Stegostoma tigrinum: one gene and its partners. The main gene of each other region encodes a partner of the protein of the gene in region 3 in a complex. Links are inferred from orthologs where the notes say so. Each region holds a gene or a part of one and is shown on either strand. Other genes may lie near its edges. The genes, in order: arid4a, mybl1, rbl1 and transcription factor E2F5-like.

What was found.
Region 1: the proteins of rbl1 (region 3) and arid4a are in contact, whole or in part, in a crystal structure (PDB 7SMC), measured with the Homo sapiens proteins. The link is inferred for Stegostoma tigrinum from reciprocal best matches to the Homo sapiens genes RBL1 and ARID4A. Residues at the interface, in NP_002886.2 of Homo sapiens: Tyr849, Ile850, Lys853, Val854, Thr860, Phe861, Gln862, Met865, Lys866, Arg869, Tyr879, Arg880, Asp929, Leu930, Ile931, Tyr934, Asn935, Val939, Ala946, Leu947; in NP_002883.3 of Homo sapiens: Leu957, Val958, Cys959, His960, Glu961, Val962, Asp963, Leu964, Asp965, Asp966, Leu967.
Region 2: rbl1 (region 3) and mybl1 share a complex: the UniProt entries of both Homo sapiens proteins name them as parts of the DREAM complex. The link is inferred for Stegostoma tigrinum from reciprocal best matches to the Homo sapiens genes RBL1 and MYBL1.
Region 4: the proteins of rbl1 (region 3) and transcription factor E2F5-like are in contact, whole or in part, in a crystal structure (PDB 5TUV), measured with the Homo sapiens proteins. The link is inferred for Stegostoma tigrinum from reciprocal best matches to the Homo sapiens genes RBL1 and E2F5. Residues at the interface, in NP_002886.2 of Homo sapiens: Ser1000, Ala1001, Leu1002, Leu1003, Tyr1004, Lys1005, Phe1006, Asn1007, Ile1017, Met1020, Ile1021, Gly1024, Glu1025; in NP_001942.2 of Homo sapiens: Met162, Ile190, Ala192, Pro193, Ser194, Gly195, Thr196, Gln197, Leu198, Glu199, Val200, Pro201, Ile202, Pro203, Glu204, Met205, Tyr213, Leu217.

What each region holds. Positions count from the first base shown.
Region 1 is NC_081363.1:50,107,954-50,115,544, forward strand, and holds the start of arid4a (AT-rich interactive domain-containing protein 4A), read left to right. Parts: upstream 1-4,512; 5' UTR 4,513-4,548; intron 4,549-4,580; exon of another isoform or gene 4,581-4,680; intron 4,681-4,718; exon of another isoform or gene 4,719-4,856; intron 4,857-4,868; exon of another isoform or gene 4,869-5,100; intron 5,101-5,566; 5' UTR 5,567-5,615; coding exon 5,616-5,621; intron 5,622-7,591.
Region 2 is NC_081358.1:31,539,081-31,546,518, forward strand, and holds the start of mybl1 (myb-related protein A), read left to right. Parts: upstream 1-4,414; 5' UTR 4,415-4,748; coding exon 4,749-4,768; intron 4,769-7,438. UniProt on the Homo sapiens protein: Transcription factor that specifically recognizes the sequence 5'-YAAC[GT]G-3'.
Region 3 is NC_081372.1:1,760,544-1,767,594, reverse strand, and holds the start of rbl1 (retinoblastoma-like protein 1), read left to right. Parts: upstream 1-4,016; 5' UTR 4,017-4,137; coding exon 4,138-4,284; intron 4,285-6,923; coding exon 6,924-7,051. UniProt on the Homo sapiens protein: Key regulator of entry into cell division. Directly involved in heterochromatin formation by maintaining overall chromatin structure and, in particular, that of constitutive heterochromatin by stabilizing histone methylation.
Region 4 is NC_081358.1:85,387,355-85,394,967, forward strand, and holds the start of transcription factor E2F5-like, read left to right. Parts: upstream 1-4,514; 5' UTR 4,515-4,552; coding exon 4,553-4,723; intron 4,724-7,613.

The DNA of each region.
Region 1 (7,591 bases), on a different chromosome or scaffold from region 3:
CATAATAATGCTTATGGAAAGCTGGCTAATGAGAGGTTTAATGTGGAATGCAGTATAGTGTGCATATGGAACAGAGGAAATGGCTACAAAGGATAGCCATGTGTAATAGGTGGCCAGAGTTTAAGATGTTTTTAAGATACAAAGGAATTAAGGAAAGTGGGGATTATGGAGAGTAGATGGAGCAAAGGTGGAAGATCAACCTTTGTCTTACTGACTGGTAGAGCAAGATCCAAAGCATAATAGCTTCTCCAGCTCCTACGTTTTAGATTGGGTTATTTACTTGTCGAGATTTATAAGAGAGAGCGAGATACAACATATATTAGTGCAAAATTATATAATTAGCCAAAAATATCACGTGATAAGAACTGTTCTTCAGAACAAAAATTCACGATTTCTAACCTGATTTTGAACAACAATTTTATTTCAATAAAAGGTTCACATACAAAAAGAAGATAGCGTGGATAATCTGTCTTAGTAATTTTGGTTGTGAGACTAAAATTGCCCAGGAAATAGGGAATACTCAACCATTCTTTCAGTCCTGCCATGGAATCTTTTATGTCCAACTGAGACATAGAGACCTTATTCATGACTTAGTAGGCCTTCCTCATGCATAATTATCTTGCAACAAAATTTACTGCACACAAAACATCTATAAATGCATTCAAACAGTTTATTTCACATGAAGTTACTTGATTTAGATTTCATTTTATAAAATTCTACATGGCATCATTACAATTTTCCTTCCTCAAAAAGTACCAAGTTCAGGGATTAGGTGCAAGAAAATCAAGTTTCTGATATTCTTAAATTTTGCTTAGCATGGTTTAAAACATAACCCTAAATGGTCAAATCTTAGTGAGATTCTCCATGGTTTCAACAAGGGCTCAAAGGGAAATCTGAATCACTAATTTTGGGTCTTACTTCAAGACATAAGGATGGAAAGCATTTGAATTTTCTACCAGTCTAGGAGAGCGGAGCTCCACAAACAGGTCAACGCCACCTAGCCACAATGGCTTTAAAAATCAATTAATTCTATCAAAAGATTTCCAAGACAACACTCCGCAGCATCAACAATTAAAATTCTAACTTCCAAAAAGAAGAATTATTTAAAGTCACTCGTTTAAACACCACATGAGACCCCAAAGCCTATTTCAGTCAATTACATTCTGAGAGTGATAGTTCCTTCATCTAGTGCAAAAAACATGGCAATTTACATCCAGAAAGATCCTGTCCGATAATCTACTCGAGTGATGTTGGTTGAAGGAACAACTCCACTACTTCAAAATAGGGTAAATCAATCTTTAACATTGATGTCGGGGTGGGGGGGGGGAATATTGGGTGTGTGTGTGTTTGTTAAAATTGTCAACCGTTTCCACACATCTTTGTTGACAATAAAAACTGGCCTTGTAAACTCTGTATGCTATGGTTTCATGCATTACAAAAAAAGAGATGCTTTAGGTGCCAGCTCTAGGAGTAAAGTAACAAATGAAGAAAATGTCTCTATTTTACACTTAACCAACCAGAGGGATTGAAACTATTAATAGAATGTCTGAAGGAAAGGATCCACCACTTTCTCAGTCTGGCAATCTCCTACACAATATGCAAAAACCAATGCATCTGTTAAGATGTATTTCATGGACTGGTAAACAGCAGACTGCATTACTCTAAAATCAGTCTAATCCAGTTTTGACATTGGTCAATTTTAAAAGCAAGAAGCAACAGGAAAAGGTCAGTTCCATCACTGGATCTGGTAACATATCTATTGTAAATATAGGAAAGGAGAAAATAGAAGTTTAAAAAATCATTTGTACAGTATGACTTTTCACTTCTTGGTTTAATCAAATCCAGATTTGGATGCATTGAAAGCATTTCATTGTCTTCTTGCCAACTGTATGTGTTCAGTTAGAGACAATTTCACTGATTACAACATAGGCTACATGCCACAGTACAAAGATGACATTCTTGCTGCATTTTTTGAAGATCCAGTGTTGTTCTTTGCTGTATTAGAACTCATGTAAGAGAATATTGGCCTATATATCTATTCCCTGAAAACCTCAAGGTAATTAAAAAAACGGATGCAAAATATCAACTGAAAAGGAACATGGCTCTTGCAGATCAGTGAATGTTCAACCAATCCAAGATCTGATTGCTGGCCCGTAAAGAGTTACTAAATTAGCAGTAAAACGACGATACTATTGCTCTTAAGCATATCAGTCCCAGCTTATCTTGACTTTTGGCTCAAGAAGAGTCAAGCTGAACTCAAAACATTAACTGTCTCTCTCCACAGATACCGCCAGATCTGAATTTCACCAGCATTGTATGTGTTTCAGACTTTCAGCATCCATGGTATTCTGCTATTAAAGGTCTACTGAGCAATCAGTTGAGTTGGGAGGAAAATCTATACAGTATGGGTTAAGTCCTACCGAAGAGAAAAGCTTGGAGTGTGCATGTAATAAGAAACAACACCTTGCACTTTACTGGTTATCACAGATACAGCATAGAAATAGGATGAATGAGAAAACAAGATAGAGAAAGGAGTAATTTGGGTAAAAGCGGAGACAACAATAGAAAAAAGGGTTTTCAACCGAGTTGGAGAAATCCATGAGATCAGAGTCATTCGGTATGGAAACAGACCCTTAGGTTCAACTAGTCCACGCCAACCATGTCGGCAAACTAAACTGATCCAACCAGCCTGTGTTTGGCCCATATTCCTTGAAACCTTCCTATTCATGTACTTATCCAAATGCCTTTTAAACTTTATAAGTGTACCTGCATCCACCACATCCTCTGGCAGTTCGTTTCACACAAACTAAATGTAAAAGAAGTAGTTGCCCTTCTGGTCCTTTCTAAAAAATTATCCTCTCTTCAAAACATGGAAATGTTAAGTTCTTACCTACCTTATGGGAAAATAACCTTTGCTATTCATGTTATTTATGCCCCTCATGATTTTATAAACCTCTAAGTTCATTCCTTAACCTCCTGTGCTCCAGTGAAAAATGTCCTAGCCTACTTTTATAACAAACACTCACAGCAACATCCTGGCAAATCTTTTCTAACAGTTTCTAGTTTGATAATATCCTTTGTGAAAACATATCACAAGAAGAAATAATGGTGCTGTGACAGAAAAGACTTGTATCATTCTCATTTTTCAGAATAATCTTAGGGTTGTGAAAGCATTTGGCCAAGGAGAATGGGTGGTGAACTAATGGAGGGGCCAGGTCAACTGGTAAATGCTTTAACTCTGAACGTGTAGTTGTTGTACATAGTCCCCAAGTGAAGACAATGATGAAGAATATAGAAAGCTAGATGGATAAAACACTGATCAAATTTAGCAATAGCAGGAAAAAGGGAAGAAAACAATTCAAAGGAAGAGGTCTCAAAATATGCAGAGATAAAACGATACATTTGATTGCAACAACCAAAAAACTTGAAGAACACAGAAGGGCCAATCAGGATAGAATGGGAAATTAGAACACGTTCTGAAACGTTCAAAGAACTGAGGACAGCCACGAACTTGGTTTTGCATTAACGTCAGAGTATGGGTGTAACATGAGAACAATTTAAAGATTCAGATTCTTTAATACTATCTTTAAAACATAGTACACTTCTCGATGAATAGGCCAGAAAACTGACACCACGTTTTCCTGATACTTCAGCCACGGAAATAGCCATGAAAAATTTACAGATGAATCTTCAAAATAAATATAAATTTCTGCCTGGGTATATGCACTCGAAGGGCGACCTTTGGTTACTTTACTAGGTTTAGCATTACTTAAATGCAAATTAGCGCTCTCGTCTCCCCCCCATGTGAGTTTTAACCACAAATGAAGTTTTATATTGTACTGGTCTTTTTGGGTACTACAAACTTTGTATGGCCAGCAGCAGTAGTAACAACTTTGGACTCTGACAGGACAAAACCCCTCGTGCACGCCGCGTGCACACTATTTACAGCCGCAGCTGTTTCCGGGAACGTAACAGCTCCATGACGCACTAACAATCAAAGACGCCATTGAATCGAACCAACTCCCCAATGACGAGAAGAGAAATAGCCTCCATTTGACCTTTTATTTTTACTCGCTCGAACATTTTTTACATTCCGCAACATTCCTAAAACTTACTTTAGACAGTTTTCTAAGAGTTCCGATGAAAAAACAACGGCGAACCCGCGAAACAGCAGCTGAAAGCAAAGAATTTCCTGGTCCAGCTGAACCTCCTCGCGGTCGCTGCTTCTGCCGCCGCTTCAACAGGACCTCAAACAGCAAAAATCGCCACCAAGATGGCGCCGGAGCACCTCTCCCAGTTGCGCCTGCGCACGGCTCAAGCGCCGTCTGGGGCTACAGAGCGTGCGCAGAAGGCGGGGGATGCGTTGCACTCTGGGCCTCAGAGGCCGCTCGGATCCGTTTCCATGTGACCGCACAGCCAATCGGTGAGTGGTGCGGCCGTCTTGCTCAACATTCAGCCAATCGGAGTTCGAGAAAGGCAGGCTCGCTCAACAGCTTGTTATTTCGGTTTTCGCTGGGACCCGGGGAAGTGGACGTTAGCGGTGGACGTGTGTGAGTATGCGGTTCCTCCAGTAGTCTCGTTGGCCTTTTCACTTCTGTAGGCTTAGTGCAAAACATAATTTGGCTGCTTTTAAACAGCGTCGTGGGCGGAGGTTGGCTGGTCCTCGGTTATGAAGCTGAGGTGAATTCGCCGGAGCCCTTTCCCCCTTTTCTCGGTTTAAAGTGAACGTAGGGGGCATTGAATGGCAGTCAGCTCCGACTTCTCCACTGCCCGCCTGTTTATGCATTTTGCTGCTGTCCTTGGACCGGTAGTTCAATTGAGAACCAAGGTTTATAATCTGTTGGGACGGTGCGAAGGTGACTTGTATGTTTACGGTGGTTTCCTGCTTTTTTTATTCATGTGTAAGAGCCTCGATCGTCGCGATTTTTGTTAAAGCGCCTTAGATGTGAGGGGGGACGGGCTTAAAAGGCGGTCCGAGGCAGTCCTGTTTTTAACTTCGCCACTGTTTCCCATCGACCTGTTTTGAAGTACTGGTCTCACTTGCTTCTTTACAGAGAGTGCGTTTCTAAATTCGTATCGAACTGCAAAGAAAAAGTGGTGGTAAACGAGGGTTTTCTACTCGTAGGAGGGTGTTGGAGGGGGAGGGTGCGTTTGGCTGTCGATCTATGAGCGGAGAAGGCGACTGATTTGCCGGGACACCTCCATAATTGTACTACAGGATCTGAGCTTGTTGAACTGACATGGTGCAGAAATCGAGAGAGCAATGGCGACGTGACTCAGGATGGAGGAACAAGCGGGAAGGGGCAGTTAAATTGTCCTAAAAATCCACATCGCGTTTCAAATGTATCTTCATTGATCTCACAGTAATTTATTTAATGTATTGTTTAAAAATTTCGTGTATATGAACTTCGTAGCTTCCCCTGGATAGGGCAAGTAGAGTACGACGAAGGGAAAACATGTTATTTACATCTGAGTACATTGAAAGCTTGGTGTGTTACATGGTCCTTGTAGATTGCAGTTTAATTTTAACGAGTCGACTATGATCATATCTTTTGCTTAACTGCAGTGATCACAACTTCGAGCTGGAAGCACTCACGTAAATAGGACACTCGAAAATGAAGGTAAGTTGTCTGTATTGACTCCATTACTTCTTAACAACGTTTCTCTTTTTGACGAGTTACGTTATCCACTTTTGTCCGTAGTCGTAATGCTTGACCGTCTCAGACCGATTATTCTTTTTAATTGAACGGTTATTTGAACTGCTGAGTCGGCCTAGTAGTAAGAATGCTTGTTAATTCTGTTCAGAGCGCTGATGTGATAAATATCTAAAACGAGATGATTTGCATGACCAATAACTGATCTTTTGAACTAGACTCATGGATGAAACTTCTAAAAATATTTCAGAACAAGTAAAATAATGGTGTACTCAAATTACATATGGAGTGAAAGCAGTTAATGCAAAGAATAACACAACAGTGATTTTGTGAAGAAACCCCTGAAACTTTGGTGTGTTGCTGTAGAACTACTTCTGAACTGTGCCTCTATTCTCCTCAAATTTGTCCATTACAAATATGTAAATTAAACAGCCTGATGTTTGGTGGGTGTTGTCACAAATGGTAACTGCAATAATTTATGTAATTTTTTTTCAATGGGCATTTGCCTTCCAATCTTCATGCGTTTTTACGATTTCCAGGTGCAACAGCATTCACAAACTGATCTTTTTAACTTTATTTATTTGGGTGTAATGTTGCAGGTGTAATAGCACTCAGCAAGCTTTCATCCCTTTAGTTTGTTATAGAGTCGTAGTTATACAGCTCAGAAACAGACCCTTAGTCCAATTGATCCATGTCAACCAGGTATCAAACTGATCTAGTCCCATTTGCTATCATTTGGCCCATATCCCACTGAACCTTTCCCACTCATGTAGCCATCAGATAATTTTAAACATTGTAATTGTACCTCCCTCTGTCATCTTTGACAGCTTGTTCCATACATTCACCACCCTTTGTGTTTAAAAAGTTGCTTCCCAGGTCCCTTTTAAATCTTTCTCCTTTCACCTTAAACCTGCACCGTTTAGTTTTGGGCTCCCCTACCCTGGGGAAAAAGACCTTGGCTTGTCAGCCGTCATGATTTTATCAACCTTTTATAAGGTAATCCCTCGGCCTTGATGCTCTGGAGGGAGAAAAGTCCCAGCCTGTTCGCTTAAACCCTCCAATTCTGGTAACATGCTTGTAAATCTTTTCTCAAGTTTAACAAAATTTTTCTAACAGCAGGGAGATCAGAATTGAATGCAGTATTCTAAAAGTGATCTCATCAATGTCCTATTATAGCTGTAGCCAGCGCACCAACCAATGAAGGCAAGTGTGCCGAACATTGCCTTCACCACCCTGCTTACCTGTGACTCTGCTTTCAAGGACCTATGCACTTGCACTTCTACATCCCTTTGGTAAAGGGCCCTACCATTAAGTGTGTAAACCCTGCCCTTGTTTGATGTACCAAAATGCAATGCCTCACATTTATTTAACCTCAACTACATCTGCAACTCCTTGGCCCATTGGCCCATCTGATCAAGGTCTCGTTGTATTCTGAGATAGCCACCTTTACTGTTCACTACAATCACCAATTTTGGTGTCATCTGCAAACACACTAAGCATTCCTCCTATATTCACATCCAAAACATTTATGTAAATAACAAAAAGTCGTGGACCTGGTGATGCTCCTTGCAGCACACCACTGGCCACAGGCCTCCAGTCTGAAAAACAAACCTGTACCACCGCCCTCTGTTTCCTGCTTTCAGCCAATTTTGAATCCATTTGGCTAGGTGCCCCTGCATTTCTTATTGTCTAACCTTGCTAATCAATCTACCGTGGGGAGCTTTGTCAACGCCTTGCTGAAGTCTGTATAGACAATATCTGCCCTCATCAAACCTCTTTGTTACTTCTTCAAAACCTCAATCAAGTTAGTGATATGCATTTCCCATGTATAGTCTTGTTAACTATCCCTCATCAGTCCATAACTTTTCCAGATGCATGTAAATCCTGTCCCTCAGAATCCCCTTCAACAACTCACTATCACGACCTCAGACTCACTG
Region 2 (7,438 bases), on a different chromosome or scaffold from region 3:
CAGTTTAGGATATCTGATTGCCATGGATGAGGGTTCAAACTGAAGGTTCTGTTTCCACACTGTATAGCTCTATGACTCTACAAAATTGTCCAGCACAATGTGAACTCCTAATGCAAAGAGGACTAAGAACTCAATCCCTGCTCTCATTTACGCATCCAAGTTATAAGCACAAATACTGTTCCAGCTAGATGTGAAACTACCTCAAATATGATGAGGCACACTCCAACTAGGCAAGTTCGTCTGGATCTAATGCCAAACTTACTGTGGACAAGTGTTTGTGACATAACATCCATGGCCCTAGATCATTAAAATAATAGGCTGTGTAATGAGGTAAGATGGAACAGGCTTGCACTGGTTGCCATGTAGCCTGTGGACGCAGTCATCTACCCAATTTAATAAATCAGAGAAACTGCATCCATTCATCAAATCAGTTGAAAATGTGCATTGCAAGTCAAAGTCAGCTATCAATTCCCTCCTGCCTAGGAAAGTCTAAGAGACAATGTGCTGGACTCAAAGCCCTGATTTCTTCACCGGAAAAGTGGTGAGCCTGTGGATTTAATAACCCCAGGAAGTAGTTGATGCCAAAACACTGAACGTATTCAAAATGTGCCTAGATATAGCACTTGAGGCAAAATAGATCAAAGGTTGTGGGGAGAAAGTAGGGTTAGGCTTTTGAGTTGGACAATCAGCATAACATGAACAATGGCAGAGCAGGAGCAAAGGGCTGAAGGGCTGCCTCCTGCTATCTTCAATGTTTCTGTTCCCTTCAGAGGAGACAAGGACCCTTTGACATAGACTCATATGGGGACAACCATTGTGGTCTTTAAAAGAGGAATGGAGAAAGGACATGAGGAGAAAACAACATTTAAGAACTGAATATACCAGAGTTCAAGGTTGTGGATTGTTGCTTTTCACAATCCAGAAATCACCATTAGAGATTTTGAGAAGATGGAGGCGGTGTGAATTTTAATGGACTGTTAATAGATTAGTACTAATCTATGTCTGAAAGTGATGTGATGTCATATGGTGATCGTACAAGTTTGTGGAAGACGTAAAACAGAACAGTAAGATGTGTTCCAGTAAAGCTCCTGTTTCATAATGAGTCTGCAGGGGTATTTAAATCTAAAAATAATTCAGGCTGATATTTAATGCAAAATCATTACATAAGTAACTGTACTTAATACCTTGCTTTCTGTAAATTGCATTGGGGCCTCTTAGGGTCAGTGAAAAAACTGATATAAATGCCAGTCAGAGACAGTAAAAACTGCTGATGCTGGAGTCAGATAATACAGTGTGGAGCTGGAGGAACACAACAGGCCAGGCAGCATACAGGAGCAGGAAAATTCACGTTTGGGACAGGACCCTTAAGAAATGGAAGAGGAGGGGTGAGCAGGGGAAGGTAGGTGGAATGGTGATAGGTGAGCACAGGTAAGCAGTGGTGGGGATTGGTCAGTGAGGTGGGAAGAGCGGATATGTGGGACAGGAGATGGACAGATTGTGTCAGATCAAGGAGGCGGGGATAAGAGAGAGGCTTAGTCATGGGATAAGGCCGGGGTGGGGAAATTTTGAAACCAGTAAAGTCCACGGTGAGACCATTGGGTTGTAGGCTCCCAAGATGGAATATGAGGTGCTGCTCCTTCAGTTTCCAGGCGGTGTCATTGTGATACTGGAGGAGGCCCAGGATGGACATGTCGCCCAGGGAGGGGGAGCTGAAATGGTTCATCACGAGAAGGTGTTGTCGTCTGTCGCGAACAGAATGCAGGTTCTCTATAAAGCGGTCTCCGAGCCTCCACTTGGTCTCACCGATGTAGAAGACGCCACATCAGAAGCAGCAGATACAATAATCCACATTGACAGATATGCAGGTGAACCTCTGTCTGATGTGAAAGGTTTGTCTGGTGCCTTGGATGGAGGTGAGGGGGTAGGTGTGGGGGCAGGTGTAGCACTTCCTGCAGTTGCAGGGAAAGGTGCTAGGGGTGGTGGGGCTAGTGGGGAATGTGGAGCAGAAGAGGGAGTCACTGAGACAGCTTGAACAGTTCCTCAACTTTACTAACCCCTTTCTCCCCAACTTCAAGTTCACCTGGACTATCTCTGATACCTCTCTCTCCATCCTGGATATTGATATCTCTATGTCTGGTAACCGCCTCAAAACCAACATTTATTTCAAGCCCAGTGACTCCCACAGCTACCTAGACTATAGCTCCTTTTACCCACCTTTTTGCAAGAATGGGATCCCCTACTCCCAATTCCTCTACCTCTGGTGCATCTGCTCCCAAGATGGGGGGGGTTCCACTACCAAACATCCCAGATGTCCTCTTATTTCAAGGACCGCAACATCCTGTCCCACCCAACTTTGGTGGTCAAAAATGCACTTGACCCACATCTCTTGCATTTCCCGCACCTCTGCCCTCACATCCCTTTCTGCAACAAAAACAAAGATATATGAGAACAAGTGGGATTCTATCACTCCACTAACCATATTCAACGTATCATTCTCTGTCATTTCTGCTACCTGCAATCCGACCCCACAACCAAAGATATATTTCTCTCCCCACCACTATCTGCCTTGCATAGGGACCGGTCTCTCCATGACTCCCTCGTCTGCTCCACACTCCCCACTAGGGCGGCACGGTGGCTCAGTGGTTAGCACTGCAGCCTCACAGCGCCAGGGACCCGGGTTCGATTCCACCCTCAGGCGACTGTCTGTGTGGAGTTTGCACATTCTCCCTGTGTCTGTGTGGGTTTTCTCCAGGTGCTCCAGCTTCCTCCCACAGTCCAAAGATGTGCAGGCTAGGTGGATCAGCCATGCTAAATTGCCCATAGTGTTCAGGGGTGTGTGGGTTATAGAGGGATGGGTCTGGGTGGGATGCTGCAAGGGGCAGTGTGGACTTGTTGGGCCGAAGGGACTGTTTCCACCCTGTAGGAATCTAAACACTAGCCCCATGTCCTCTGATGCTGCCTGGCCTGCTGTGTTCCTCCTACTCTACACTGCGTTACCTATAAATGCAAGTTTTTTTAATAAGTTAAACCCTTGTCTACTTATTCCAGGAACATAAGCAGAAGAAACAGAAAGGTACAACATAAAGATAGCAATAACACAAACACCACTCCTCAGATTTTTTTCTCGCTCTGACACCATTTCGAAGTCTCAAACGTTGTAACCTCTCAGTGAGAACTTTGAGAGCAAGGGCCTTTTTAAAGTGTGGGGAGGTGATGGCCCAGCCAAATTATCCCTGGACTAATCCAGAGATACAGGTGATGCTCTGGGAACCCATGGTCAAATCCTCCCATGGCAAGCGGTGGCACTGAATTTAATAAGAAGTCTGGAATTAAGAGTCTAATGATGTTGCTGGTTAGGGGGAGAAAATACATTCATTCCAAGATGGGACCATATTCTATAATTTGCGGTTTGTAACTCGAGTAAAGGTTTATTACAAACATACACGTTGTGAGATATGCTGAAACTACGACGATAAAACTAAGAACTGCAGATGATAGAAATCTGAAACAAAAGCAGAAATCGCTAGAGAAACTTCATCTGACGAATGGGTCATTGGACTTGAAACATTAACGCTGTTTCTCTCGCAACAGACCGGCTGAGTACGATGTTTACATCTATTCCTTTCGATATTTTTTGATCTTTACCGTTCAGAAATGTTATAACCCACTTTGGGCTCAGGTGGCACTTGAACCCGGGCCTGCTGTCTCAGAAGTAGGGACACTAGGTGTGACAGTGGCTCAGGGGTAAGCCCTGCTGCCAGAGACCTGGGTTCGATACCAACGTCGGGTGTGACGGTGTGGAATTTGCACATTTTCCCCGTGCCTGCGTGGGTTTCCTACCACAGTCCAAAGACGTGCAGGTTAGGCAAATTGGCCGTGCTAAATTGCCCTCAGTGTCTACGGGAAAGACAGGTGTGGGTCTGGGTTGGATCTCGAGACAGTCGGTGCGGACTCGACAGGCCGAGTCGCCTGCTTTCACACTGCAGGGATTCTATGATACTACTACACCGACCTGGCTATTCTTGTTACGTATGTTTTAACAAAAAAAAGGACTTAATTGAAATAAACTGTCACATTATGGTTAGGTTTTTTTGCAACAGGCACTCATCAATGACAGACTTGCCCATCGCCTGCCAACAGCAGCGGCGGTGTTTGGGACCCACACAAGATGGCGCACTCGATGTTGGTTCTCAAGGCGCACGGCTTCCATATAGACTACAATTCCCAGAGTGCCTGTCAAGTGCGCATGCAGTCGAAGTTCGCCGTCAAGGCGCACGGGCTTCGATGTGGACTACAATTTCCAGTGTGCCTGTCACGTGCCCGCGCTGCCGCTCGCGCCGCCCCCCTCGCACGGAGGGCCCTATGAACGGTCAGGACGCGTGCGCACATTCAAATATTGTCGGGGAGTGTTTGAGAGGGAAGGCAGGGCGCGAGATTTGGCGGGATATAGAAACGGAGCAGTGAGAGTGGCTGAGAGGCAGCAGTGGAGAGCTGAGCTCCCCTATAGCCACGTACATACATACACATATATATATATATATATAGAGAGAAACACACAAATACACTCTTTCTCTCTTCGGGCTGCTTGGGGATATGGTGACCCCACCGCTGGTACTCAGGCAGCCAACAGCGACCTTCAGCCCATGTATTAATGATCGGAGACTAACCATCCCGGAGTCCCCGAGCGGAGTGAGTGATTGAGGAGTCCTGGGAAAGGCAGAAAAGGGAGACAATCGTCCCTGTCAGTGATGGCCAAGCGAGCCCGGAGGTGAGTGCTCTGCGGGTGGCTTTTCGCTCATCAGGACTACTAGCGTGGAACATTGAGCTGTCTTTTTTTTTATTTTTGAAGTTGTACTGGCTGTCAGCTGCCTGCAGCGAGTTACACGGGACCTGTGATGTTTGCATCTATTCTTATACAAATGTATTATCAAAACAAAACTAAATGAAGCGCCCATGGATCATTGTCATGTTATGATTAGTTTTGCAAAAGGCAGTTTGCGTATGTTTACGTCCATCTAGGTAAATTTATTAGGGAGCTGCTAAAGTTCAAAGTTGAATATGCACAGTGCATCAGGTATAACGTGACAAATTTCAACCTGTTGAGTTGTCATTCCTGTGTTTTTGGAGGTATAACACGCCACATCATAGCTGGGCGTGCAACATCGCTGTAAAACTGATCACAGAACCTGGCCAAGAGTACAATTGGCAGTAGTTGGCCAATAGCAATTGCTAGGATTCGGTTCAAATCACCGCCGTCTTTAGTTGTCAAATTGATTGTAGGCCTAGATTAACCATGAATAAATCAATGTAGTAACATTACCCAGGTTCTGTTTTTTTCTGTTGGGTTGGAATACGAGGAGAGAGGAATACAGAGTTTTTCTGTCCCTGAATCTCACGAGGATTCCACTGTTTATCTTGAAAGCGTTAAATAGGATTTTCAGGATAGTTTTAATGAGTACCAGCTAAATGGATTGAAGTTTTCTTGCCTATTCTTCCATGTAATAAATGACAGAAATCAAGTCCATTTCATGTAAGCTGGAAATAAGTTAGTTTATCCTGATACGTTCTTGGTACTCGGTATTCTGGTGAATAATTTTATTTGAAATGACGAGTTTATCAAGCAGATTTGTAGAATGGCTTCCTGCCACACTGGAACCATTCAGCCTATTGCCTGAGCTGTCTGTCTACAAGAGCAGTTTACCTAATCTCATTCCCCTTGATCTTTTTCTGCAAGCTAACTTTTCTTTTAAAAAAAGACTTTGGCTACTTATCTAATTCTCTTTTGAAAGCCATGATTGAATTTGCCACCACCCCACACTTAGGCAGTGTATGCTGGATCTTAGTCACTCAGTTGTTGTTTGGAAAAATTGTTTTTCCTTGCACTGTTTGTTTTATCATGCACCTTAACTTGGTGTCCTCTGACTCTTACGTAGCACTGTAACTTCTTCCTGTCCATGCTGTCTAGATCCCTGATGATTTTGAACACCTCTGTCAAATACTTCTCTTAAACTTCTCTAAGGACAGTAGCCTTTTCTCTTAACTGAAGCCCCTCATCCCTAGAACTAATCTTACCAATGTTTTCTGTTGTCACTCTGAAGCTTTCACACCCTTCTTGGAGACAAAATTACAGTTGAGGATAAACGACGAGGTTTATCATCACTACATTGAATTTTTACTCTACTTCTATTTATAAATGAAGGATGTGTTAATTGCTTTCTCAATCAGTCCCAGCCACTCTGCACAATGCATGCACACACACACACACACACACCCTAGGTCTCTTTCCTCTTGCACTCCTTTAGAGTTGTGCCTTTGTTTGTTTTCCTTGCCTTTTCTTGAATTTTCTAACAGAATGTAAGTTTCAGTTTGTATTAAATTTAATCTACCCACTCCCATCAACCTGCTTTGACCTCCTTGAAGTGATTGCTCTGTTCCTCAGTTCGCACAACTTCCGAGTTTTTTTTCTGATCTAAATTTTTGAAATTGTGCCATCCACACAAATCTATCATTAACATAGATTAAGGAAAATTAAGTTCATAGCACTGGCTTCTGGGGAACCCTGTATCAACCATTCGCCACAACTGTTTCCAGTCTTTCAACCAGCTTTGTATCCACTACCTATGGATTCAACTTTATTAGCAAACCTGTTATGTGACATTTTATCAAATATCTTTTAGAAGCCTGTGTACACGACTTTTAAACATGTTACCCTCAAACGTTCTGTTACTTTTAACTAATTTAATTCAAGTTGTTTTCTTAAATAACATGAAATTCAAACACAAGATAAAAGTACTCAGCCAGACGGTAATTCGGTTTTTCTTCACACATGCTGCCTAATGATGATCTTTCAGGCCTTTGCAGTTTTTAATGCATTTGTATTAATTAAATATGATTCACCCTTGGTAAATCCACACTTTGCTTTAGTTAATACTTTTATAAATTTTTAGCCTTTAAGTCTCTCAACTTCCTCTTTCATTGTGGCTTGCACAACATCTTCCTTGGTGAAGATAGACGCTAAGTCATTAAATAACTCAACAATGTTTTCTGTCTCCATGAGTATGTCTGAGTTCTGCCACTCCTCTTGCTACCTTCTTAGGTTAACTGCAAATCTCTTATACTCCTTCTGCCATTTTCTCACACTTGGCTGAAATTTTTGTATTTAGTTTAGACCTCATTTGTATTTTGAACTGATGTTGATCATACAGAATCATTCACTGCTTCATTTTACTTTCTCCTATCATTTGACCAAAATTTTCCTTCGTAACACTTTGCCTTGACTTGTGTTCAACCTTTTCTGCATCAGAGACCACTTCAGGCTCATTTATTGCTTTGTCTACCAATATCATTGGCATTCTATTTTACCTGGGCCAGTTCTCAATTCTTCAGCAGTCTACTCCCAAAAGAGTCCACCAGATCCTCCCACGTTCTTTCCCATTGT
Region 3 (7,051 bases):
AATATTTTTTCCCTAATTAGTCGAGGACACAAGTTGGAGCTGGCTTCCAAAATCAGGAGCAGCATAGACTTTAGATTTGAACAGTTCATAATGCAAGGCTTCTGTGGCAAAAAAAAGGCCTCTTTCTACTGTGCTTTCCCCTGTCTACACTAATGGCAGCCCGGCACGGATTCCCTCTGCTCTCAATCATTTCATCCTGGTTCCTATTCTTAAAACAAAGCCTTAGAGGAAGTGACGTTGTTTTCAAATTTAGTCAATGTTGCAATGCTGCGTATTGGATACCTCATTTATTTTGTATCAATATCCCCAACCTACTGATATAATTGCTCTTGTATCTAAATACTGTACCTGACTTGTCGAAAGCCTCAATAAAAAGTTAACAACCCGGCATAGAGCGGTGTTGATGTCTGAGGTCATGCAAGAGTTTCCGTCTCATTTGCTTAATGGAAGAATCTGCTATTGGGGTGGGTTTTTCTTTTTTAAAAAAGAAAATTTGCTTGAGACGTGTTTAGTTTCTTTCAGTTTTGCTTTTAAAAGGAACTAGCATTAATTTGTGGTCCAGTTCTTCCCTTGGACATGCAGCTTCAGCTGTATCTGACAGAACAATTGGAATTCAGCCTTCTGACCTCCTTCAGACTTTGATCAGTAATGGAAAGTAATGTAAGGATTTTAGGAAACAGATTATCCAATAAAGAGGATCTATTGTTTAGCATAAATAATTATTATTTTCACCTCCATCAGAGGAAGTGTCTGTTATTGCTGTATTGTACAGTCTGGAAGATAAGAATTCACAAACTTGTGTGACATACCAGAAGAGAGAATCCTCATTTAGTTTCCCTTTAGTGCTTTGTGTTGGGAGTATTTGTGCAAATCTACCTGAGCAAGACACTTGGTTGAAAATGTTCAGAATAAAATCTACCTTGCATTGTAAAATGTTGCGTAGTCCCCAACATCTTGATTGATGACTCACTTTAATAAGCAAGACAGACCTTTATCAATGTGATTACATCTTTGCCCCAAAATGGTTGTCAGTTTTATCAAATGCCTTTGCAGAATTTACGTAATGTTGGGGTGTGACTTCATTTAAATTGGGATAGGAGGAGACCATTTAATCTCTTGAGACCTTACACTGCCACACAATTATATCATTGCCATAAACTATCTCAACATTACACACCTTTGTTCCTTATCTCCTGATCCCTTTAACTAACAAAAATCTATTGTTCTCAGTCAACATTGAATTGTGATTGGGAACAATCAACACAACATTTATAGCCTGGAGAAAATGGTCCAGAGTTCTGCTACTCTATGTAGTAAAAGTCCTTCTTAATTTCATCCTTAACTGATTTAGCATTCGTTGTAACATTGATGTTTTATTCGGGATTCCAGTCAAGGGAAATTTCTTTTTCGGGGCTATTAAACACATTAATTTTTTTCTACTCAGTACTTTGCACTCCATTGACTTAATATTGATTGTAAATGCTGGACTTTAGCTATAACTAAGCTTCTCTGTGACAGTGATGACAGTGGAGTTTGGATAATGATTTCAAAGAGGGACAGCAGAGCATGGAATGGGGAATCAAAAGGAAATCCGAGTGCATCCTTGGCGTCGGTTTACCTTTTTGATTTACAGACTACTGGTCAATGGGGGCCTTTTCTGGATGGATGGACTTTATGCCGTGCTATCTATTTTCCCCCACTGCTGTACGTTGACAATGTTGGAATTCAGCATTCTGATCTCTCTCTCTCTTTTCCATTGCTGAAAAGCAATAATTTGGAGAAACAAACAATGCTGGAGACACACAGCAAGTCTGGCAGCATCTTAGGAGAACTTCTCTTTTCAATGTGCTTTGGACAACCACATCAGACTATGAGTAAATTAGCACCCAGTGGTGTGTTCACAAGATCCACCAAATCAAGAGGCAAGGAAGGCAGTCCAACAGCAGCACCCTCCCCCAACAATGTGGCCAGCAATTATTCCTGGCAGAATCATAGAACAAAAGAACTGTCAACGCTGGAGATTGAAAACAAAAACAAACTGCTGGAGAAGCTCAGCAGGTCTGGCTCCATCTATGGAAGCAAATAGACACAATGTTTGATATCCAGTGACCCTTCCACAAACCAGTTGCTGTGGGCAGGATCTCATTTGTTGATCTGATAGACTCCCAAAGCAGCTGCTCTGGTCTGAACTTAGTTTTTACAGGGGTCTGCCGGGAGGGCAGTGGAAGTGGTTTTGTTGAGGTGCTTGAAGCATTCCTGTCAATTCGTGCAATCCCTGGATCGGTTTTGACTGAAGTGGGGAAGAATCATTTCAAAATGCACAAATGCATTAAGGGATTTGCTTGAGAACATGTAGAATTGGTGACAGCACACAAACTCCCAAACAACCATCTAAGCAACTCTTCAAATAGCACCTGCTCTCCCTGTGTTAGAATCTGCTGATCCTTCCAGAACCCATTGAACAGGAGTAGGAGCAAATCATTCCCAGTAGTATTGCATATAATTCAGCTGTTCTTTCTTGAGAAATCCATTCTGCAATTTGACCATTTCTGAGAGGGTGGGCAAGATGGCAAAAGGTCAAGTTGAAATTGGTTCAAATGCTGAGGCTGGGGAAAGAAAGTGAAACAGGTAAAAATGGGGGGGGGGGGAGAAAGTGAAACGGGTAAAATGGGGAGGGAGAGAAAGTGAAACGGGTAAAAAGGGGGGGGGAGAGAAAGTGAAACGGGTAAAAATGGGGGGGAGAAAGTGAAACGGGTAAAAAGGGCGGGGGGAGAAAGTGAAACGGGTAAAAATGGGGGGGGAGAAAGTGAAACGGGTAAAAAGGGCGGGGGAGAGAAAGTGAAACGGGTAAAAAGGGGGGGGAGAGAAAGTGAAACGGGTAAAAATGGGGGGGAGAAAGTGAAACGGGTAAAAAGGGGGGGGAAAGAAAGTGAAACGGGTAAAAAGGGGGGGGAGAGAAAGTGAAACGGGTAAAAATGGGGGGGAGAAAGTGAAACGGGTAAAAAGGGCGGGGGGAGAAAGTGAAACGGGTAAAAATGGGGGGGAGAAAGTGAAACGGGTAAAAAGGGCGGGGGGAGAAAGTGAAACGGGTAAAAAGGGGGGGGGAGAGAAAGTGAAACGGGTAAAAATGGGGGGGAGAAAGTGAAACGGGTAAAAAGGGGGGGGAGAGAAAGTGAAACGGGTAAAAATGGGGGGGAGAAAGTGAAACGGGTAAAAAGGGCGGGGGGAGAAAGTGAAACGGGTAAAAATGGGGGGGGAGAAAGTGAAACGGGTAAAAAGGGCGGGGGAGAGAAAGTGAAACGGGTAAAAATGGGGGGGAGAAAGTGAAACGGGTAAAAATGGGGGGGGAGAGAAAGTGAAACGGGTAAAAATGGGGGGGAGAAAGTGAAACGGGTAAAAAGGGCGGGGGGAGAAAGTGAAACGGGTAAAAATGGGGGGGGAGAGAAAGTGAAACGGGTAAAAAGGGGGGGGAGAAAGTGAAACGGGTAAAAATGGGGGGGGAGAGAAAGTGAAACGGGTAAAAAGGGGGGGGAGAAAGTGAAACGGGTAAAAATGGGGGGGAGAAAGTGAAACGGGTAAAAAGGGCGGGGGGAGAAAGTGAAACGGGTAAAAATGGGGGGGGAGAAAGTGAAACGGGTAAAAAGGGCGGGGGGAGAGAAAGTGAAACGGGTAAAAAGGGCGGGGGAGAGAAAGTGAAACGGGTAAAAAGGGCGGGGGGAGAGAAAGTGAAACGGGTAAAAAGGGGGGGAGTTAGTGAAGGTGATGCCGGAGGCGGGGGGGGCGCGGTGAGTGAGCGAAGGTGATGCCGGTGGGGTGGGGGTAGGGGGGTGGAGGTCTCAGGTACTTTCTGGCTGGGCGGCGGAGTATGGGTGACGTTAGGTTCCGAGTGCTCCGCGGTGATCCGGCTGTGCGAGCTACTCTTTCCGGGCTATTTATAGAATGGGCGTGGTGACCTGGTCGAGCATGCGCGGGTTTTTGGCGCCACTGCCGCGGTGTACTGTGGGATTAGTGTCCGAGTGGAGCCGGGGCAGTCGCGGTGGGAGAGAGTGACTGAGTCGGAGGGACGGAGTCAGAGCGAACCGGCAGGGATACGGGAAGCGACAGACAGGTACTGAGCCGGGAGGGAGAGCCAGCACCATGCCCAGCGGAGAGAGCCGGGACGGCGGCAGGCGGTCACTGCGTGACAGCTTCGACAAACTGTGTCAGGACCTGAACATGGATCTGGAGAGCGGGGCCGAGGCTTGGGAGAACCTGCAGCGGATCCGCCTCAACTACACTCTGGAGGTGAGGGTGGCTGGGAGTAGGGGTCGTCGCAGAGCCTCCCCAACCCCGGTCTATCTCAACTACAGCGTTGGAGTTGAGACCATAAGATATAGGAGCAGAATTAGTCTATTCAGCCTATCAAGTGGAGATTTACTGGGATGCTGCCTGGATTTGGTGGGGTGTGGTGGGGCAGCTCTTATGAGGAAAGGTTGGGGGAGCCTGGGCTTTTTTCATTGCAGTGAAGGATGAGAGGTGGCTTGATAGAGGTGTACAAGATGATCAGAGTGCATAGTCAGACTTTTTCCCAGGGCGGAAATGACTGTTACGAGGGGGACATAATTTTAAGGTGATTGGAGGGGGGCATAGGGGAGATGTCAGAGGTAGGTTCTTTATACAGAGAGTGGTGAGTGTGTGGAATGCGCTGCCAGCAATGGTAATAGAGTCAGATATTTTAGAGCCTTTTGGACAGGCATGTGGAGGGTAGTAAACTGTAGTGGAAGCAGGATAGATTGATCTTAGGATAATAGATCAGCACAACATTGTGAGTCAAAGCCTGTATTGTACTGTTCTATGTTCTATATGTTAGTCTGTGCCCCCATTTGATCACAGTTGATGTGTTGCTCAAACCCATCATCCTGCCTTCTCCCTGTAACCCCTGATCCCCTCACGAATCAATTGCTGTCTTAAATACAGTCAACCATTTGGCTTCCTCAGCCTGCTGCGGCAGTGAGTACTTTGGCAGGAAGCATACAGGCATTGACTGCTTTCTAAATGGGGAAAGGCTTTGGAATTGAGGGAATGTATCTCATTGAGACTTAAAGAATACTGAGACGCCTGAATAGATTGGACATGAAGATGATGCTCCTACCTGTAGGAGAGACTTGGTCCCAAGAGCACAAACTCAGAGTGAAGGGACCATCCTTTAGAATGGAAGAGGACTTCCTTCAGCCAGAGGATAGTTAATTTGTGGAACTCATAGCTGTTCTTGATTGGCAATAGGAACAAGGATGGGGGAGAGAGGGCAGGAGATCGAGGAACATATCTGCCATGATCAAGTGGCAGAGCAGATTTGATGTGCTGAAGAGCTTAATGCTGCTCCTATCTAGAGTGGTCTAAAGTGTGAACCTCATTTGTGTGGAATTTAAGTTTTTAAACTGAGAATTTAAATTTCTCTTGATTATTAATGCAGTACCACTACCACATTCAATAAATAGAACAGTTGAAAACACAGTTTGTGGTTAACTAGTATATTGCTGATCATTTCTGTGATATATGATGTCTTTTTGATGAGTGCGGAAGTGATGTGTGTAGTGGTTGGTTTTAAAACACACCAGCTGCATTTCTGTGTTGTGGAATTTGCTTTATGTTTGTACTTGTCTCTAACTTGGTCACTCTGCAAGTTTCACTTGTTTCCTTCCAATAATTAAGATTATTGCTAAGGAAAAATAGTTGCAATATAAACATCTGTAACAGAAGAAATAGATTGAGTCATTAAATGCATTTTTCAATTTAGAGTTAAACTCACTTTCAATTTATAATTTCACTGATATTTTGTGCTGTAAATTGGATTGATTCTATTTGTGCCTGCCCATTTGCTACAAAATCAAAGCTAAAGAACATTTCACTCAATAGTCATGCCTGCATGAATGTCCTAATTATCAATTCTATGTTGATATTGCACCTGGGGAACTATTGTATGTTAACCCAGGTGAAGTTGCAGTGAAACAGTGGAATAGTTCATGGAGTTTGAGGATTATTTCAGTGATTTCAAATTCATTTTGTGGAGATCAGGACTTTGGTGTGAGCATATGTTATGTACTATGTACACTTCTGGTCTCCAAATCTAAGCTCACGTATATCTATTTAGTGCAACAAAGATTTACTCGATTGGATCCTGGAATATGAGGATTCCCTTGTGTGGGGCCATGAAAAATGAGGAGAAATCTCATTAATGATAAGTGTGGAGCTGGGTGAACACATCTCCTAAGTGCTCCTAAGATGCTGCTTGGCCTGAGGTGTTCATCCAGCTCCACACTTATCTTGGATTCTCCAGCATCTGCAGTTCCTATTATCTCTGAGAAATCTCATTAAAGCTTTTTAAAATCACTGCATGTGTTATGAAGCGGAAATTGATGCCCCCCCCCTGCCAAAAATCTGTTAAAAGAAGTATGAAAAGTGTTATAACCAGCTGGTCATCCCCAATCTGTTGTAAAGGAGTGGTTAAATAAAATGGAATCTTTTCACTTACTCAATCAACAAAATGTAACAATTTACTTATCTAACTTTAACAGTGAACAAATTAGCAAAACTACTAACAAACAAACAATTCCCCCTTAACTATTAACTACTCCTGAATAAAACAAAACTCTTCAGTAAGGTGATGTCACCTCACCTCAGCCAACGAAGGAGCAGCACTCCAAAAGCTTGTGATTTCAAATAAATCTGAACTATACCCTGGTGTCATGTGACTTCTGACTGAATATGTTCAAGGGTGAGAGATCTTTTGACGTTTCAGAACCTAGCAATATGGAGAGCAAGTGGGAATGTGGAGTTGAACTGAAAGGTTAGTCACGCCCATACTGAGTGATACACCAGTCTGGACAGACTAGTCTGATTGTGTTCCTATTTTTAATGGACTCGTTTCTTAATGCTTGTTTCAGGGAGAAACTCTGCACTGGCTTGCATGTGCCTTGTATGTAGCCTGTCGCAAAAGTATCACGCCAACTGTTGGCAAGGGGACAATGGAAGGAAACGGTGTGTCACTGACAAGAATCCTCCGCTCATCAAA
Region 4 (7,613 bases), on a different chromosome or scaffold from region 3:
GGTCAAGGGGGCAGGAAGAGGTTAGTAGGTAGGAGATCAGGGTGGGGCTTGAGGTAGGAGGAGGGGATAGGTGGGAGGAAGAACAGGTTAGGGAGGCGGGGGTGAGCTAGGCTGGTTTCGGGATGCAGTAGCGGGAGGGGAGATTTTGAAGCTTGTGAAGTCCACATTGATACCATTGGGCTGCAGGGTTCCCAAGCGGAATATGAGTTGCTGTTCCTGCAACCTTCGGGTGGTATCATTGTAGCACTGCAGGAGGCCCAGGATGGACATGTCATCTGAGGAATGGGAGGGGGAGTTGAAATGGTTTGCAACTGAGAGGTGCAGTTATTTAGTGAGAAAACCGAGTGTAGGTGTTCTGCAAAGCGGTCCCCAAGCCTCTGCTTGGTTTCCCCGATGTAGAAGAGGTCACAACGGGAGCTGTGGATGCAGTATACCACATTAGCAGAAGTGCAGGTGAATATCTGCTTGATGTGGAAAGTCTTCTTGGGGCCTGGGATGGGGGTGAGGTGTAGGGGCAGGTGTAACAAGGAAAAATGTCAGGTGTGGTGGGGCTGGAGGGGAGTCTGGAGCAGGCAAGTGAGTCACGGAGAGAGTGGTCCGTCCAGAAAGCAGATAAGAGTGGGGAGGGAAAAATGTCTTCGATGATGGGGTCGGATTGCAGATGGCGGAAGTGTCGGAGGATGAAGTGTAGTAATAGTGGGGTGGTAGGTGAGGACGAGGGGGGATTCTGTTTTGGTTGTTATTGCAGGGAGGGGGTATGAGGGATGAGTTGCAGGAAATGCGGGACACACGGCCAAGGACATTCTCCACCATTGCGGGGTGGAAGTTGCGGTTCTTTAAAAACAAGGACATCTGAGATGCAAAGGAGTGGACTGCCTTATCCTGGGAGCAGATGCAGCGGAGGCAAAGGAATTGGGAATAGCGGATGGCATTTTTGCAGGAAGGTGGGTGGGAGGAGGTGCATTCTAGGTAGCTGTGGAAGTTGGTGGGCTTGAAATGGATATCGGTTTCGAGGTGGTTTCCAGAGATGGAGACAGAGAGCACCTGGAAGGAGAAAGAGGTATTAGAGATGGTCCAGGTGAACTTAAGGTCAGGGTAGAAGGTGTTGGTGAAGTGGATGAATTGTTCGAGCTCCTCGTGGGAGCACGAGGCGGCGCTGATACAGTCATCAACGTAACAGAGGAAGAGGTGGGGTTTAGGGCCAGTGTAGGTACGGAAGAGGGATTGTTCCATGTAACCTATGAAGAGGTACACATAGCTTGGGCCCATGCAGGTACCCATGGCCACCCCCTTTGTCTATAGGAAGTGGGAGGAATTGAAAGAGAAGTTGTTGAGAGTGAGGACGAATTCGGCTAAGCGGTAGAGGGTGTCAGTGGAGGGGGACTGGTTGGGCCTGCGGGACAGATAGAAGCGTAGGGCCTTTAGGCCATCTGTATGGGGGATGCAGGTGTATAGGGACTGGGCGTCCATGGTAAAGATGAGGTGTTGGGGTCTGGGGAATTGGGAGTTCTGGAGGCGGCGGAGGGCGTGGGTGGTGTCACGGACATAGGTAGGGAGGTCCTGGATCAAGGGGGAGAAAATGGAGTCGAGATAGGTGGAGATAAATGACTTTGTGACAAACCTGACTACGCTGGTCAACACATTGTCTCCACCTCCTTCTGCCCCACTGAACTTAGCTCCACCTATCTCGACTCCATTTTCTCCCCCTTGGTCCAGGAAATCCCTACCTACGTCCGTGACACCACCCATGCCCTCCCCTCCTCCAGAACTTCCGATTCCCCAGTCCTCAACACCTCATTTTCACCATGGATGTTCAGTCCCTATACACCTGTATTCCCCATACAGATAGCCTAAAGGCCCTCCGCTTCTTCCTGTCCCGCAGGCCCAACCAGTCCCCCTCCACTGATACCCTCATTCGCTTAGCTGAACTTGTCTTCACCCTCAACAACTTCGCTTTCAATTCCTTCCACTTCCTGCAGATAAAGGGGGTGGCCATGGGTACCTGCATGGGCCCAAGCTCTGCCTACCTCTTCATAGGTCACGTGGAACAATCCCTCTTCTGTACCTACACTGGCCCTAAACCCCACCTCTCCCCATTACGTTGATGACTGTATTGGTGCCGCCTCGTGCTCCCACGAGGAGCTCGAACAGTTCACCAGAACAGAACACCTTCCAACTCAACCTTAAGTTCACTTGGACCATCTCTAATACCTCTCTCTCCTTCCTGGACCTCAGTCTCCACCTCTGGCAACCATCTAGAAACTGATATTTATTTCAAGACTACAGACTCCCACAGCTACCTAGAATACACCTCCTCCCATCCACCTTCCTGCAAAAATGCTATCCCCTATTCCCAATTCCTTCGCCTCCACTGCATCTGCTCCCAGGATGAGGCATTCCACTCCTGTACATCTCAGATGTCCTCGCAGTTCAAGGACCACAACCTCACCCCCTCAGTGGTCAAGAACGCCCTCGACCATGTCTCCTGCATTTCCTGCAACTTATTCCTCACACCCGTCCCCTCAACAACAACCAAAACAGAACCCCCCTCATCCTCACATACCACCCCACCAACCTCCGGATCCAATGCATCATCCTCCGACACTTCCGCCATCTGCAATCCGGCCCCATCACCAAAGACATTTTTTCCTCCCCACTCTTATTGCTTTCTGGAGGAACCACTCTCTCTGTGACTCCCTTGTCTGCTCCACATTCCCCTCCAGCCTCACCACACCTGGCACTTTTCCCTGCAACCACGGGAAGTGGTACACTTGCCTCTATACCTACCCCCTTACCCCCATCCCAGGCCCCAAGAAGACTTTCTACATCAAGCAGATGTTCACATGCCCATCTGTTAATGTGGTATACTGCACCCGCCGTTCCTGTGGTGGCCTCCTCTACATCGGGGAAACCAGGCAGAGGGTTGGGGACCACTTTGCAGAACACCTACGCTCGGTTTGCACTAAACAACTGCACCTCTCAGTTGTGAGCCATTTCACCTCCCCCTCCCATTCCTCAGACGACATGTCCATCCTGGGCCTCCTGCAGTGCCACAATGATGCCACCTGAAGGTTGCAGGGACAGCAACTCCGCTTGGGAACCCCACAGCCCAATGGTATCAATGTGGACTTCACAAGCTTCAAAATCTCCCCTCCCCCTACTGCATCCCGAAACCAGCCTAGCTCACCCCTACCTCCCTAACCTGCTCTTCCTCCCACCTATCCCCTCCTCCTACCTACTAACCTCTTCCTGCCCCCTTGACCTGTCCGGCCTCCCTGGACTGACGTATCTCCTCCCTACCTCCCCAACTATACCGCCTCCATCCCTGCCTCTTTGACCTGTATGTCTCCTCTCAATCTACCTTCTCCTCTATCCGCCTCCCCCGCTCTATTTATTTCAGAACCCCCTTCCCCTCCCCCATTTCTGAAGACGGGTCTCCCCCCAAAACGTCAGCCTTCCCTCTCCTTTGTTGCTGCTTGGCCTGCAGTGTTCATCCAGCTCCATTCCTTGTTATCTCAGATTCTCCAGCATCTGCAGTTCCTATCTCTGAAACAACTCGGTGTTCATGGTCTTTTTTGCAGGACATAGTAGTTCTGCTAAGCTTTGTTTCCCCAATGAAGTCGCCAGATAGTTGAGTCTAGCAACAACTTTCATAGCATTGTTAATGTGATAAAATGATATGGGAGTCTTCACATTGGTTTTCTCCAATAAAACTTGACAGCGACCCATAAAATATCACAGCAAATGACCAAAACTTAGCCAAGGAGGCAAATTTTTAAGGAACATCATAAAGAATGAAATTAAGTCACAGAGGGTTACATATAGAATTCCACACTTTTATGGTCCAGGCAAATAACAGAATAGTCACTAATAATGGAACAATTTAAATCCAGGATGCGCAAAAGCTAGAATTGCAGGAATCCAGATATTTCGGAAGCTTGTGGGGCTGGATGTGATTACAGTGACATAGCTTTGGTGATACTGAAGTCCTATTAACCTTCGGAACATTTCGTTAACTGTTTTCCACAGATTCTGCCAGATCTGCTGAACCTCTCCAGCACTTTTCTGTTTGCATTTCGGATTTCCAGCATCTACAGTGTATTATTTTTATGTGTATATATTCCTAGCATGGTGTCCCCCAATGTTGAATGGGAGACAAATTCTGTCCAATGCAGTACTGGGTGCTGGAGAAGCAGGTTGATCCACTTAGAGTCACCGGATTAAGGTTGGGCTGGCCGTCCGTGTGTAAATTGCCTGTGGCAGTTTTTGGAAATCCTTCGAAGTTTGTTTTCATTGAACAGTACAGTGACTTTTTGTTTCCCCTTGCACTTAAAGCCATGGCCTGGGTCTCGAAATAAAGTAGCATTCAACCTCATCTACCAACTGTCGCCAGGACTAACTGCGCTGCCCGGTTACCATGGCGTTGCCGTGTCGCAGACGTCACTTCCTGGATTTTGAACACTGTTCCGCGGTATCTGATTGGCTGGACAGTCTTCAAAGTGGGGTGGGTGGTGAAGCTTTAGTCGCGGTGACGTCACAATCGTCCGTGGTGATGGCCGAGTCTGTCCGTGAAGAGAGCGGTTGGAACGGCACGGGTCACGGAATCCGAGGTTCAGGCTCGAGTCCGGCCTCGAGCCGCCACGAGAAGAGTCTCGGGCTCCTCACCACCCGATTCGTGTCGTTGCTGCAGGAGGCCAAGGACGGAGTGCTGGACCTCAAGCAGGTCAGGGCCAGGCCAGCAATGGCAGGGGAGAGAGCACATGTGTGAAAACAAAACCTGCGAGGCATCTCCTGCTGCTGACCAGTCCAGCAGCTCCCTCAGCATTCTTGAAGCACGATCTTCACACGTTTCACTCACCCATCCTTTTTGATTCACTTGTAGCGGAGCGTAGGTGCTGATTGTTGTCGGCTCCCCGAAGGGAATAATTTGTGGCACAGTCTCTATGCAACCATATAACACGTTTTCTTTAATTTTCATATTGGAAGTGCGTTATTTTATAAACGAGGAAATAATCGTTTTCAAACTTATAAAAGGTGTGGTGCTGAATCTGGAATGGGTTACTTGCCTGTTTCATTATCAATCGTTCCATTTCGGCAACTGATTTAAGAACATGTAACATTTATAGATAGTTCTAATCGACCTGTTCAGACATGTCGTGACACAGCTCTCAACAGGTGGGACTTGAACCCAGAGGTAGGGGCGCTACCATGGCACCACAAGAGCCCTGCGAGAGCGCTTGTATAACGAATTTGCTGTAGTAAAATACCCCAAGGTGCTCGACAATGGTATGTAGTCAAAACTGGATGAATAGTCGAAGATATTAAGAGGGGTGACCTAAAGTTTGTTTAGTGTGGTTTTTAATTATTAATCCTTGTATAGAATGAAGGGAGAATGAAATTCAAGCATGAAAAGTTTTTGTGGATGGGGTGTTTGTAGCACTGTCAAAGAAGTTGCATCTGAGATTGGTAAAACATAGAGGAATTTAAATCCAAGGTAATATTTTTAAATCCCAAACATTGGTACCTGCTTTTCCTGTATGGATCACTCATGAATAAAGAGTCTGTGAAATTGCCTGGAATATGAAATTTAAATGAGACTGATCAGGAAAACATTGTGACATTTAAATTTAGTGCTCACAATGGGACAGAAAGTTTTTCCACAGTAGATAGGCTGATGTTTGTCACGAAGTGGGTTATCCAAAAGCAGGGGAACTATAACTATCAAGGTCAGCTGTGTTCATCCTGGAGAAAAAAGCTACATTAACACAGTGACTTCAGCGTACCTAGGATGTCCCAGACACTTCACAACAGTGTTTTTGAAGTATACTTTTCTATGTAGATATAAAAAGAAAGGGTTTGGGAAAAAATATAGTGTGACTAGCTTTGTCACAGGGTAGAAATGATGATGGGTGGAGACTCAGCTGCCAATTTGTACCAAGCATGATCTTCAAACAACAATGCCTCAGAGATAGTAAGAGCTGCTGATGCTGAAGTCAGAGATAAGAGTGTGGAACTGGAGGAGCTCAGAGGAGCAGGAAAATTGACATTTCCTGTTGGGACCCTTCTTCAAAAATGGGGGAGGAGTGGGGGCAAGGGAGCTCTGAAATAAATAGGAGGGGTGGGGAAGGTAGGTGGGGTGGTGATAGGTGAGTGCAAGTAGGCAGTGGTGGCGAATGGTCAGTTAGGTGGGAGAGAAGATGGACAAGGAGGTGGGGACGAGAGGGAGAGTTGGTCGTGGGATGAGGCCAATGGTGGGGAGATTTTGAAACTGGTAAAGTCCACATTGAGACCGTCGGGTTGTAGGCGCCCAAGCCGGAATATAAGATGCTGCTCCTCCAGTTTCCGGGTGGTGTCATTGTGATGCTGGGGGAGGCCCAGGATGGACATCTTGTCTAATATATTTTAGTGATGTTGACTAAGCAATAAATATTGGCTACAACCTGAGGGACAACTACCAATTTAAGTTTTATCCCCTTGTCATGTACAACACAAAATCAATTTGCATCATACAGTTAAGAAATGTACAGCACATTATTCTCATTAGAGGGGGATAGTTGTTCTTTTCGTGCCATGTCATTTTTTTCTCCTTACAGTTTTGATTGGAGGATCTTTTCTATTTTGAAATGAATTATCTTGCTGGAGGAAAATCAAGTACTTTAGTAATACTCTTTTTTAAAAGTGCTGAATATTTTTTTCCAATAGAATTTCACCTTTGAGGAGGAATGGATTTGTATGGTATATTGCCACAGACTCCTTTGGCATTCTACAGCCCACCTTTCAAAACACAAACATTCTAGATCTGAAGGCTTATTATTTTACAGGGGATTATTTGTGCTGAATCAAAATAGACACATTGACTAATGTTTAATTTAAAGATGGCACTTCAGACAGCGCAGTACTCCCTCAGTACAATATAGGACTGTTGATCAATGTTTTTGTGTGCAAATCTTTGGAGTTGACCTTCTGACTATGATAGCGCTATCCACTGAGCTACAGTTGACACCTGCAGTTGCTGATCTTATCAGTATTTCATAATTCCTGAAATGCTGTTGCTTCCCAATCCCATCCTGTTCTCCCTAGCCAGAGACCAGACCTTTGCCTGTTACTTTTTGTATAATGTCATTTTTTTCTACTTGCAGTTTTGATTGGAGGATCTTTTCTATTCTGAAATGAGTCATCTTTCCAGCTTCCGTCACCCCACCTCCAGAAAAATCAAGTACCTTAGTAATGCTCTTTTAAAAAGTGCTGAATTTTTTTTCCAGCAGACTTTCACCTTGAAGATGGAATGGACTTGTATAAAACGATGCCAACAAGTCCCCTTTAGCATTCTGCAGCCCAGCTTTCAAAATAAAAACATTCTAAATCTGAAGTTTTTTTTTTAACAGGAGATTATTTTGATTCAGCATATTTAGAAGTACTGATGCAGATGGGTTTTGTGTTGGACATCACCAGGGAAAAACATTTAATTTGGATTGTGAACCAACAATTTTTCAGCCTTGTTCCCTAGGAATATAACATTGACATCCTTGGCGCCGCTTGTTGAAGCACCAAATCTCAAATATCTTCACTTTAAAGTCAGTCTTATCATTCTCGTACATTATATGCTTTTAGAA